3 linked regions of the Canis lupus familiaris genome follow. The protein of the gene in region 1 interacts with the protein of each later gene in a biochemical or structural test. Links are inferred from orthologs where the notes say so. Each region holds a gene or a part of one and is shown in the gene's direction. Other genes may lie near its edges.

Evidence for each region. The genes of interacting proteins can lie anywhere in the genome.
Region 2: the proteins of CDC5L (region 1) and PLRG1 form a complex in vitro, tested with the Homo sapiens proteins (3 studies listed by BioGRID, with this or other methods). The link is inferred for Canis lupus familiaris from reciprocal best matches to the Homo sapiens genes CDC5L and PLRG1.
Region 3: the proteins of CDC5L (region 1) and PRPF19 form a complex in vitro, tested with the Homo sapiens proteins (2 studies listed by BioGRID, with this or other methods). The link is inferred for Canis lupus familiaris from reciprocal best matches to the Homo sapiens genes CDC5L and PRPF19.

The regions. Positions count from the first base shown.
Region 1 is NC_049233.1:12,972,105-12,976,263, forward strand, and holds the start of CDC5L (cell division cycle 5-like protein), read left to right. Parts: upstream 1-1,350; 5' UTR 1,351-1,487; coding exon 1,488-1,532; intron 1,533-3,842; coding exon 3,843-3,946; intron 3,947-4,159.
Region 2 is NC_049236.1:52,564,212-52,567,777, reverse strand, and holds part of PLRG1 (pleiotropic regulator 1), read left to right. Parts: intron 1-634; coding exon 635-736; intron 737-1,730; coding exon 1,731-1,823; intron 1,824-3,566. UniProt on the Homo sapiens protein: Involved in pre-mRNA splicing as component of the spliceosome. Component of the PRP19-CDC5L complex that forms an integral part of the spliceosome and is required for activating pre-mRNA splicing.
Region 3 is NC_049239.1:56,005,988-56,009,368, forward strand, and holds the end of PRPF19 (pre-mRNA-processing factor 19), read left to right. Parts: coding exon 1-5; intron 6-311; coding exon 312-482; intron 483-605; coding exon 606-711; intron 712-2,321; coding exon 2,322-2,419; 3' UTR 2,420-2,840; downstream 2,841-3,381. UniProt on the Homo sapiens protein: Ubiquitin-protein ligase which is a core component of several complexes mainly involved pre-mRNA splicing and DNA repair. Required for pre-mRNA splicing as component of the spliceosome.

The DNA.
Region 1 (4,159 bases):
GTCCCGGTGAGGCAGGTCGCACAATGCATGCTCCAAGGGGGCACGATTTACATCCTAGACATGGTGGATCTCACTTTCTTGTAGTATATCTCTTGTTTCCAAAACATCAGTATTTTGTGACAATTTCCCAGCAAGTGGGAATAAAGCTCCTTGGAGAAGCACCGTTTTCCCGTTGGTACAGAGGTTTACATAGAGGGTAAAAGGTGGTCCTGAGAGGGAAGGAGAAGCCATCATCATGCACCCTTGTAATGTTAGATCTAGAAATGGCTCTTGAGAGAGGACCGGTGTAATTCTGATTTATTAGGAATCTTGCTTACAAATAATAAAAAACCGGGATCCCTGGGTGGCGCAGCGGTTTGGGGCCTGCCTTTGGCCCAGGGCGCGATCCTGGAGACCCGGGATCGAATCCCACGTCGGGCTCCCTGCATGGAGCCTGCTTCTCCCTCTGCCTGTGTCTCTGCCTCTCTCTCTCTCTCTCTCTGTGCCTATCATTAAAAAAAAAAAAAAAAAGGAAAAAAATAATAAAAAACCAACTCCAAAATGGCTAACTTTTCAGATGAGGATACTGAGATTCAGCAAGGTTATTACCCAAGCTGATGAGAGAGCCAAGATTTCAATCCGATCCGAGTTTGTCTGAATACCAGTGCCTGCCAACGGTAACTCTTCATTATCAATCCACATGGACTGAATAGCGATGTACGAAAAACACTGACAAGATAGTTTTGCAGGTTTCTGGGATAATCACCGGTCATCTGGGGTCGTCCTTCTTATAACAACAGCTGCCACTTTTGGGGGGCAGTAATGTCTCAGACACTGGACTGGCGAGGTTTATGATCTCATTTAATCCTTAGGACAGCCCTATGAGGTTGCTATACTAGTATCTCTATTTTACAGATTAAAAAGCTTAGGCTTAAGCTAGTTCCTTTTCCCGAGTATTCTGCGAATAAAGTCCTATTCGTTAAATGCCTAGTAAAGCGCTAACTTAATAAATGAAAAAAAAAAAAAAAAAAACAAACAATAAACGAACAAAGCTCTTCCTAGAACACCTGGGCTATTTCTGCACCCGTGATGTTCCCTCTCTTCGCCACTAGGTGACGTCACGATCAATCCCACCGCCACCTTCCCTGCGAAGAGCCGCCCGCGATATCTCGCGAGAGCCGTGCTTTCCTCCAACCTGTTTTGGACATGCGCGCGGCGTGGGGGCGCTTTAGTGGAGGGGTTGGACGGCGTTCCGTCGGTCTTTCCAGGCTGGAGCTCTAGCGAGGCGCTCGTTCCTTTCAGTAACCGCATTCTCGCGAGACTTGCTACACCGCTCCCCCTATCCGCACCCCCCCCCCCCCCCCACCCCGCCTTGCGCCTGCGCAGATCTCTTCAAACCAGAAGGTCGCGCTTGGAGGAAGTGGCGGCTTTAGGTCCCGTGGCCGCAGCGCCGTTACTACTTCTGTGAAGCTCCTCTCGGCCGCTTGCCGAGACACCCCGCAGCCAAGATGCCTCGAATTATGATCAAGGGGGGCGTGTGGAGGAATACCGAGGTAAGTCCCCTTTTCCCGCCGTCCGCTGCCCTCCGCCCCCTTCGGCAGTTTGTGCGCAGGCGCGCGGCGGTCCAGGAGGCGAGGAGGATGCCCTGCGGGGTCTGCGTGGGGACGGGGCCCGCGGGGCCGCCCCTCGGGGTCCTCGTCGGCTGTCCGGCCCTGCGCCGCCTGAGCGCCCCGAGGACGGGGACTGTGATTTAACCACTTGACGTGCGAGGCACTTGTTAGGCCCTTAGTGAATGTTTTTGTCGAATTGAGGACGCGCCCCAGCCCTGGAGGAGCTCGCCGCGTGCAGGGGGCGGGGTAGGACCTCCGCGAGAGCTGGTCCTCCGTCCCTCCGTCCTCCCGCACGGCCCCGGCACCGTGCCGCTCTGACAACTCACGTAAAGGGAAGTGCTGTGGCCACAACTTCATGGACTTCCTTGCAGGGGCTTGGGGCAGCCTGAGTGCCAAGTTCAGAGCCCGTTTGCGCCCGCAGCTCTCTGGTTACCTGTTCCTAAGGCATGACTTGTGCGTCCTCACGACGGATCCCCAGGCCTGTGCCTTCCTGTCGCTCCGCCTCAGCTAGGATAAGAAGCCAGAGAGGACAAACTGCCCGCAGTAGTTATTTGCTTCCAGGACTGCAGCGGATGATGCTGATGGCTAGCCGAAGGGCGGTAGGGAAGGAGTAAAATAACGAACAGGATTTCGGTGCAGTTTGTGTCCAGCGTGCGCTGGATTTGTCAGTTTCCTGAGCACATCGTATCTTTTCAGGCATCGTGTCTTTTTACTTCTCGTGCCTTCTTGAAATGTCCTCCTGCTGCTTGACGTGTTTCTAACTATCCTTCAGGGCCAGTTCAGAAACTATTGGAATTTTTGCCCAATCACTCTGTAAAAATGAGTTACACCCCCCGTCGTCCCATGGCACCTCCTTCATCCACTTGGTATAGAATGGTTTGCCTTTTTGCAAGCATCACAGTCTTCTGTGTGATGCTGATAAATTTCTTAAGCTCTCAGAGCCTCAGTTTTCTGATGGGAATAAGAATTATTTTGAAGATGAAACGAGTCAACATATAGAGCAATCTGGCACACAGTAGTCTTTCAGTTAGGTGCTAGTTGATAACTGCTAGCTGATACTGCTTTCCCCCAGGAAACAGCGCTGCAAGAGGACCCCTAGAACCTAGGATAGTAACCAACATGAAATAGATTGTTTGGCAAGAGATGAATCTAGTAGGGTGGGTAACTGCTGTATGCACTCCGTTGAAGATGTGTTTAAGTCTAGCAGTATTGTAACAAAGTTACACATAGTGACAACCTTGTCTCACAGCTTGCACGGAGGGAACCAGGCTGTTTAAATTGGAAGAGAGATGACTTCTGGGGGAGAGACAGATGTACAAAATCAAATAACAGCAGGATTCCTGTAGAGTGGCCAAAGCCCTGCAGTCTTTAAAAATCTCTGATGATGGGGGGTGGGGGGGAGTGTGGGGTGTGTGTGGAATGGGGTGGAATGGAATGGCTCCTGTATGAGGCATGTATCTAAAGTTCAGTGTGGAAAAAAGCCTCAAGTTAAATGCCCCAAGTGCACACTATTCTTGGTGTCTGTGGCTTACCTTTCTGGACTCCCCTGGAATTGGTGAATTCCATATCAGAATGGGTGCCCTGATGAAACAGGAACTAGAGCCTGGAGGAAGAGCTGACTGGTGCAGCAGGGAAGAAATACTTAATTCTTAGGTTAGACCTGAAATGTGGACTTTTGGGTCGAAGCAGGGGTTATGGGACTGGAGAGAAAATGACCTTTGTAAATTGGAGTGGAGAATGGATTCACCGGAGTCTTGACTTGCTTCTTGAGGGCTGGATGAGGTCTATTTCATTCTCTTTTCCTCAGTATACAAGTCCTGGTGCAAGGTAGGTGTTCAATAAATGTTTTTTGAATGAATGAATAAATGATTGAGCTGTATCCTTTTGAGGATGATGACACCCAAACACAGGCGTGTACTTTTTGTTAATCACTGCCAAGTAGGGTTTCTCACATTGGGCTGTACTCCTAGTTTATTGGGTTGGGGATGGGGTTGTGTATAAAGAGGGGTAGGATGTCCTTCTGAGGGATTTCTTCTGAAGTTTTTGCATTTTGCCAATTCTAGCTTGTTTATTATTATAATAAATGAAGTTTTGTACCTTTTCCCCCCAAAACCTAGGGGGTGTGTGTGTGTGTGTGTGTTTATGACTTTCTCTTTCTCCCTAGCAATACTGTCAGAGTTAATTTAAATTTTGTCTTTTCTCACTTGGAATTTTATGATTGAATATATTGTTTTTCTTTGACAATTTTTTTAGGATGAAATTCTGAAAGCAGCAGTAATGAAATATGGAAAAAACCAGTGGTCTAGGATTGCCTCATTGCTGCATAGAAAATCAGCAAAGCAGTGCAAAGCCAGATGGTATGTACCACTTAATGAGTGGAAAACAGAAAGCGACCTTAATTATGATGAGGAAAATGTCAGTTCTTTGAACCTTGCCAAAGAAAGCAGGCAATGTGATATAACAGAAAGTATGGTGTGGGAGATGGGAATTTAGATTTAAGCCTTAGCTGTCACTTGCTTCCTGTGTGATCTTAGACAAGCCATTTTTCTATCTCCTCTTTCCTGTCCCCA
Region 2 (3,566 bases), on another chromosome or scaffold:
ACTCTGCCTCTGAGTAATATACCGTATGTTAATTAATTGAATTTTAATAATAAATGAAAGTATTAAATATTTTTTTGGAAGCTAATTAGTTTCTCTTTTTGCTATTAAGTTGAGATAATGTTAAAATACAACAATGAAAGGCAGTGACAATCCACTTAAAATCACTCAAATAATAATAGGAGCTTACATAAAGCATTTACAGAGTGTAACAATATTTTTACAGTAATTGTCTGAGGTAGGCAGTGTTATTTCCATTTTACAAAGCAAGCACAGAGGTTATGTAAGTTTTTACCAGTCAGCTAGTAATTAGCAGAGCAGGGTTTATGAACCCATACACAATGTTATGTGCTCTTTTGAACCCATGCATAATGTTATGTTATGTACTGTTTAGCCTCTGAGATTTTTTTTTATTTCTAAAATTAAAGTTAACATACAGAAAATAACAGTTCTGATTAGAAGTCTTAGTTATGCAAACATTTTCTAGTGATTCAAACATTTTAACTGTCTTTTCCTCTTCAATTAAGGAAAAAAAAAAACCCTCATAAATCCCCTTTTTTGAGTTTTTCTTTTTAGAATTAACACACAGAGTTAGGTATGATGCCTTTAACAGTAACATAATCTGTTCTATTTGTAGGCAGTTATGGAGGCTGGCAACGCTAAGAACTCTGCACTGATGGCTAAAAAAGCCCCTACCATGCCCAAACCCCAGTGGCACCCACCATGGAAACTCTACAGGGTGAGTGAATCTGTATATTATTCCACTACAGGAATGATGATTGCTTTCCAGTTACTAAGAGCCAAGGAATAGAATCAGGAGGAAAAGGATTGAATATGAGAACTGATAAAGTGATCTGAGATGGGTTGGGGGGAAGGTATCAGGCAGTCTTAAAAGACGTGAAGACTTCTTTAAGTAAAAGCTATGTGTGTGTTTCCTATATAAAATATTTACAGAAAGCTATTAAACATGGAGAACAGATAAAATAATTTTTCTACGTGTTTGAAGTGTTTAATACGAATCCCAGGAGGAAAAATAACATATAATGCTATTTCTTTAGCCCTACTGATTATCTTTTTAATTATAGTAAATTAAAGTGATTCAAAACATACCAGATCTAAAATGAAATGTATGTAGTAGGAAAACTATAGCTACACATAATTAAATATATGTATTAAATTTTAGTTTTCTAATTATACACTAAAGTAGACTTTCTTTTGGTATACCGACCTAATAAATTTTAATAGATGTATAAATTTGGGTAATTACTTCTTTATACACTCAGTATAAAGAAGTTCCGTCAGCTCAAAAAACACTCCTGTGCTATTATTTTATACTTCTAACTTTCCCTACCCCTGGCAGCTGTTCGTTTGTTTTTCATACTATTTTTGTGGGGTTTTTTTCAATTTTGTTATGTAATGGAATTATACAGTATATACATTTTAATACTGACTTCCTTCCTCAGCTTAATGCCTTTGAGGGCCCTCCAAGTTGTATTAATATATTCCTCTTATTTGCTGAGTAAATATTCCATTGTATAGGTATATCATAGCTTGTATATGTATTTACTGTGATTGAAGGTAATTTATAATTTTAAAATCTAAGTGTCAAATAATTTTATAAATGTATTTGAAGATATGAGGAGGGGCTCTTCAAACTTGACTTATATGTAATGAGTTGAAGTTGAACAAACTAGTGTAATGAGTCCACCCATTCTATGTTTTGTTTTATACAGGTGATCAGTGGACATCTTGGCTGGGTTCGCTGTATTGCTGTGGAACCTGGAAATCAGTGGTTTGTAACTGGATCTGCTGACAGAACTATAAAGGTAATAGGAAGGAGGAAGAAAAAATACGACTTTGTATTTACTACGTGATTTTAATCTTTTATTTCTGAGGTGGGAATTGCTGTTGTAGTTTCTCTGATTTCTGAGACCTGAGTATGGAGTAAAATTTATTATCTTTATCAATTCAGTGTTCCAATTAAATATGTTTGGAAAGTGGTATTTAAATAACAGGCTTTTCCAAACCAAACATACCGACTACCACTAATTTCTTGATATTTTTTTCTCCTCTGGTTACAAACTTAAAGCTTACTCATATATAAAAAATGAGGAAAATATAGAGAAGTACAAAAGAATACAGACCCATATGTAATTGAACACTGTCAGATAATTTGAACGAATTTCTTTTTAGTACTTACTTCCATGCATATGTGTCACTACATTTCCTTCTGAGCTTTCTTCCTGTGTGTATAAATGTGTATCTTTAAAAAATCATGATGGGGGTGTCTGGATGGTACAGTCAGTTAAGCAACTGATTCTTGGCTTCAGCTCAGGTTGTGATCTCAGGGTTATGAGATCAGGCCCTGCATCGGGCTCTGCACTCAGCGCCGTACCTGCTTAAGGCTCCCTCCTCCTCCTTTTGCTGTCCTCCCCACCACCCCTCATCCCCATGCACATGTGCACTCTCTCAAATCTTAAAAAAAAAATACATAAATAAAAATTCTTGAGTGTTACATAGTTTTGTACTCTGCTTTTTTTCCACTTAACATATAAGAGGCATATTTTTGTGAAGAAATGGACATCTTTTTAAATGGTTTCACAATCTATCAGATATTCTATAATCTATTTTCCTATTGGTAGACATCAGAGTTTTTAGTTTCTTGGTGTTCACTATCACAAGTAATGCTATATAATTTTTGTGCCTAAAGCTTTTTGCCATATTTTAAATGATTTTGTTGGACAGATCCCCAGTAATGGAATTAATGGGTCCAAGATTTTTGTAATTGACACCCAAAGTACAAATATTTTCCAAAATGGGTGACTTGATATTTGCAGTGTATTACAGGATCCTTTTTTAACACACTGATTGTGTATCTTTAAAAATATCTGTGGGGATCCCTGGGTGGCTCAGCATTTAGCGCTGTCTTCAGGCTGGGGTGTAATCCTAGAGATCCGGGATCGAGTCCCACATCAGGCTCCCTGCATGGGGAGCCTGCTTCTCCCTCTGCCTGTGTCTCTGCCTCTCTCTGTCTCTCAAGAATAAATAAAATAAATAAATGAATGAATGAATAAATAAATAAATAAAATATCTATCTACTAACGTTAAGCAGAAATGGTTACCTAATCTTGTAAAAACCGCACAAAAAAAATTTATAGTGGGATTCCTAGTAAAGCTGTTAAGTTTTTTCAACATGTATATATTTTTTATTGAGGTATAATTGATATACAATATTATTAGTTTTAATATACAATGTAATGATACAATATATTGGTATATTGTGAAATCACAATAAATCTAGTTAACATCTATGACCATACATAGTTGCAGAATTTTTTCCTTATAGTGAGAATTTTTAGATGTTGAGTACAGTAGTATTAACTGTAGTTGCCAGGCTGAACATTATATCTCCGTGACTTACCTGTTTCATAACTGGAACTTTGCACTTTTGACTCTCTTAACTCATTTCCCCCACTCCCACCCCCCACCTCTGGTAACCACTGATCTGTTCTCTGTATCTGTGAGCCTGGTTTTTATTTTTGTTTATAGAGTTCACATACCAGTAAAAT
Region 3 (3,381 bases), on another chromosome or scaffold:
TGAAGGTAGGACATGGGAGCCTCCACCTAAGGCCCAGGCTCTGAGTTCTTGACTATGCAGTGTGATTATGTGCTGACGGCACCTGGCCCTGGGGCTGTCACAAGGGTAGAGAGACCGTGGCGCTGTGTGTGTGTGACGTGATAGGTGTGGTCCGGGGTTCTTGGGCTGGGCCATCTGCTTCCGCTGTTCCTGCTAGTTGACCTTTCATAAAGGCTGGAGGAGGATGGCTCAGAGGTAGGTTTTTGGTGAACGCCATCTTCTCCCCCTCATGACCAGTGGATGACGTTGTGCTATCCATCCTCAAACTGCAGGAGCGCACCAATGTGGCCAACTTCCCCGGCCACTCGGGCCCCATCACCAGCATTGCCTTCTCAGAGAATGGCTACTACTTGGCTACAGCGGCTGATGACTCCTCTGTCAAGCTCTGGGATCTGCGCAAGCTTAAAAACTTCAAGACGCTGCAGCTGGATAACAACTTTGAGGTATGCCCCTCCCTCCCCTGCTGCTCTTCATTTGTACTCATCGAATCATCTGAGCTGCCTCTGTTGATCTCTGACTGCCTCGTAGTTTCTGTTCTCATGTGACCTCTCTCCTGGTTCCAACAGGTGAAGTCACTGATCTTTGACCAGAGCGGCACCTACCTGGCCCTTGGGGGCACGGATGTCCAGATCTACATCTGCAAGCAGTGGACAGAGATTCTTCATTTCACAGGTAGGGTCTGGACTCCGGGATCCCCAGGTCCTGGATGCCCTGGTGCAGAGCAAAGAGGGCAAATACCACTGGGCTGGGAATTTCTAGGGGCAGGCGTGAGTTTGCTTGGGCAGCTTTTCATCACTACCTGAGGCAACTGAGTTGAGTGACTAAGAAAATGAACTCAAAAATCATACTGCTGAGCATTAAATCCTAGCTCTACCACTTCAGGTCCTCTTCAGGTTGTGTGACATTGGACAGGTTACCTAGTCTCTCTGGGGAATGCTAATAGTGCATATTCCATGCGGTGCCAAGGAGGTTTAGATGAGTTTATGTATACACAAAGTCCTCTGTTTAGTGTGTATACATGTAACCTGAGGAAGTAGCTGTGTATATGCGTGTGTACAAACACATACGTAAATAGGACAGCGCCTGGCACATATTAGGGATTTGCCCTTATTCAGCATTGCATCATTCCTGTGGGATTGGAGCCATGACTGAGATCTAGGCCTTGCACTAATGGAATTTCCAATCAGCCTAGAGGAGCAGATGTGAGACAGGTTTACAAATAATCATTTAATTGTTGTGAATGCTGGAGAAGAAAAGTAGAAGGGGTGGCACAGTGGGTGATAGGACTGCTAACCTAATAGCTGTGTGGTCCTGGGTACCTCAGTTTCCCTCTGAGAGCTGTAGCTTCTTCCTTTTTTTTTAACGGTCACATTGATACTGCTTTGCAGATTGTGCCAGTTGGTGACATAGACGTGGCACGCACAGGGACAGTGTGCCTGTTGCACGCTGGAGAGCTAAGCAGACGGCAGCTGTTGGCTGTCTCTGTTGATGAAATTCTCATCCTCATTAGCAGGTTGTGGGCGGGGCCCAGGATGCTTCTCCTGCCCCCACATTCTGCTGAGCCCTGCTCAGTTTGTATGCTGCAGGGGTGTCCAGGCCTAACCGTGACCTTCACTGGGCTCCGGTGTTTTGGAGTTGAGCGAGGCGGGGTAGTGGGCTGGAAGCACAGCCTGGGTTCTGTAGTCGGGGCCCCAGGTGTTATCCTAAACCTAGAAGGAATTTGCTTTGCTGCTTGTGACTACCGGAATCCAGGAAGGTGTGTCACCCAGCCTCTTGTGCCCTCAGCCCACCCCTGCCCTACCCTGTGCCCTAGGTCGGAACCCGTGAGCTAGAACTTATTGACAGACTGTCTCACTTATAAGAAAGGAGGTAGAAATAAATACATATAATAGCATTGAGGTTTTAGATTGAACAGAAAACTCAGCTAAGTTTTTAAAAATAAGGTGAGAAGTGGAAGAATGAGACTATGTCTGCTTGGTCTGTCGCTCTCTCTGCCAGCTCCCAGTGGGTTCTAGTAGCACTTGAACTGAGCAGAATTGCAGCAGCCCCAAAAGCTCAGATGAGGGGCAAAGCTCAGGTGAGGGGCGCTGACATTCCTCTGTTCACTCAGCCCACAACAAGAACTCGAGTGCCTACTGTGTGCCGGGAACTGAGTAAGGCCCAGGGCACAGGTGGTGTGTAGGCCAGACTAGCACCCTGCCCTCGGGGGTATCGGGGTGACTAGGAAACACTGAGCACTGACCCGGGGAAGCCTCACCACTGCCTCTTGTCTCTCTCCTCAGAGCATAGTGGCCTGACCACAGGGGTGGCCTTTGGGCACCACGCCAAGTTCATCGCTTCAACGGGCATGGACAGGAGCCTCAAGTTCTACAGCCTGTAGACCCTGGCCCTGCGGATCTGGGAGCTGGGCCTCATCTCAGTAGAGGGGTAGAATTAGGGTGGGGGGAGCGGGGAGGAAGGGGAGAGACTATTGGGGGAGGGGGGGTCTCTGGGGCGGGGCATTCACATCATTTCACTCTGGTCTGGGTGGTGACCTGAGAGCCATGGCGGCGGGGACCACCCTCATCCATGCCACCTCCAGCCTGACAGGAAGGATCACGGGAGGTAGAACTGTCACCCTGTGAAGGCTCTGGTTGGAGCCCAGGGCCTCTCCCCTCATGGTGTTCATTGAGTTGCTTCAGTTCCTGGGAGATGGGGAGAGGCTAAGCCAAGGGAAGTGTGAAGGGGATGGGCGTGAGGGCTCTTGCAGGTTTTTGTAAGCAGTGATTTAGTTTCATTAAAAAAAGAAAACAATAAATGTAGCACTTTCCTGTGTGTGTCTCTAAAGGGAGCCCCAAGCTGGGAAGGTCAGGGGGAGGGAGCACATTTGCTAGAAAGACTTTTCATGTCCCTGCAGGCCTTGACCTTGTGTTTCTAGGGTCTTAAGGGTCTCACTCGTGCCACCACTTCCTTGTGGGTTTGGCTTCTACAGCAACTGAGAGCAACTGAGACAAGAGGGAGAAGTGAGGGAAGAATAGCTTTTTCTTGCCCATGAGGAAGTGTGAACATATCAGCAAGGACTCTAATGCTGTGGGTGCTACAGAACCTGCCCCAAGCCAACCCAAAAGATTTTTCAAACTAGCTTTTGAATATGGAAGGAGAGCTGGTTCCAGGGAAGACAGCCAGAAGAGTAAATGAACATAGAAGATCAGATATCAAATGCCTCTTGGAGTGAAAGTAGGGCTCCTTGGCTGCTGCAGCTGGGGTGGCTTCTTTCATGTGATAACGAAGCTGAAGTCTTAGTGCTCTGGAGCTGAAATGGAGGAGGGGTCTTGCTGGCAGGGGAAGCTTCTAAAGGAGGGG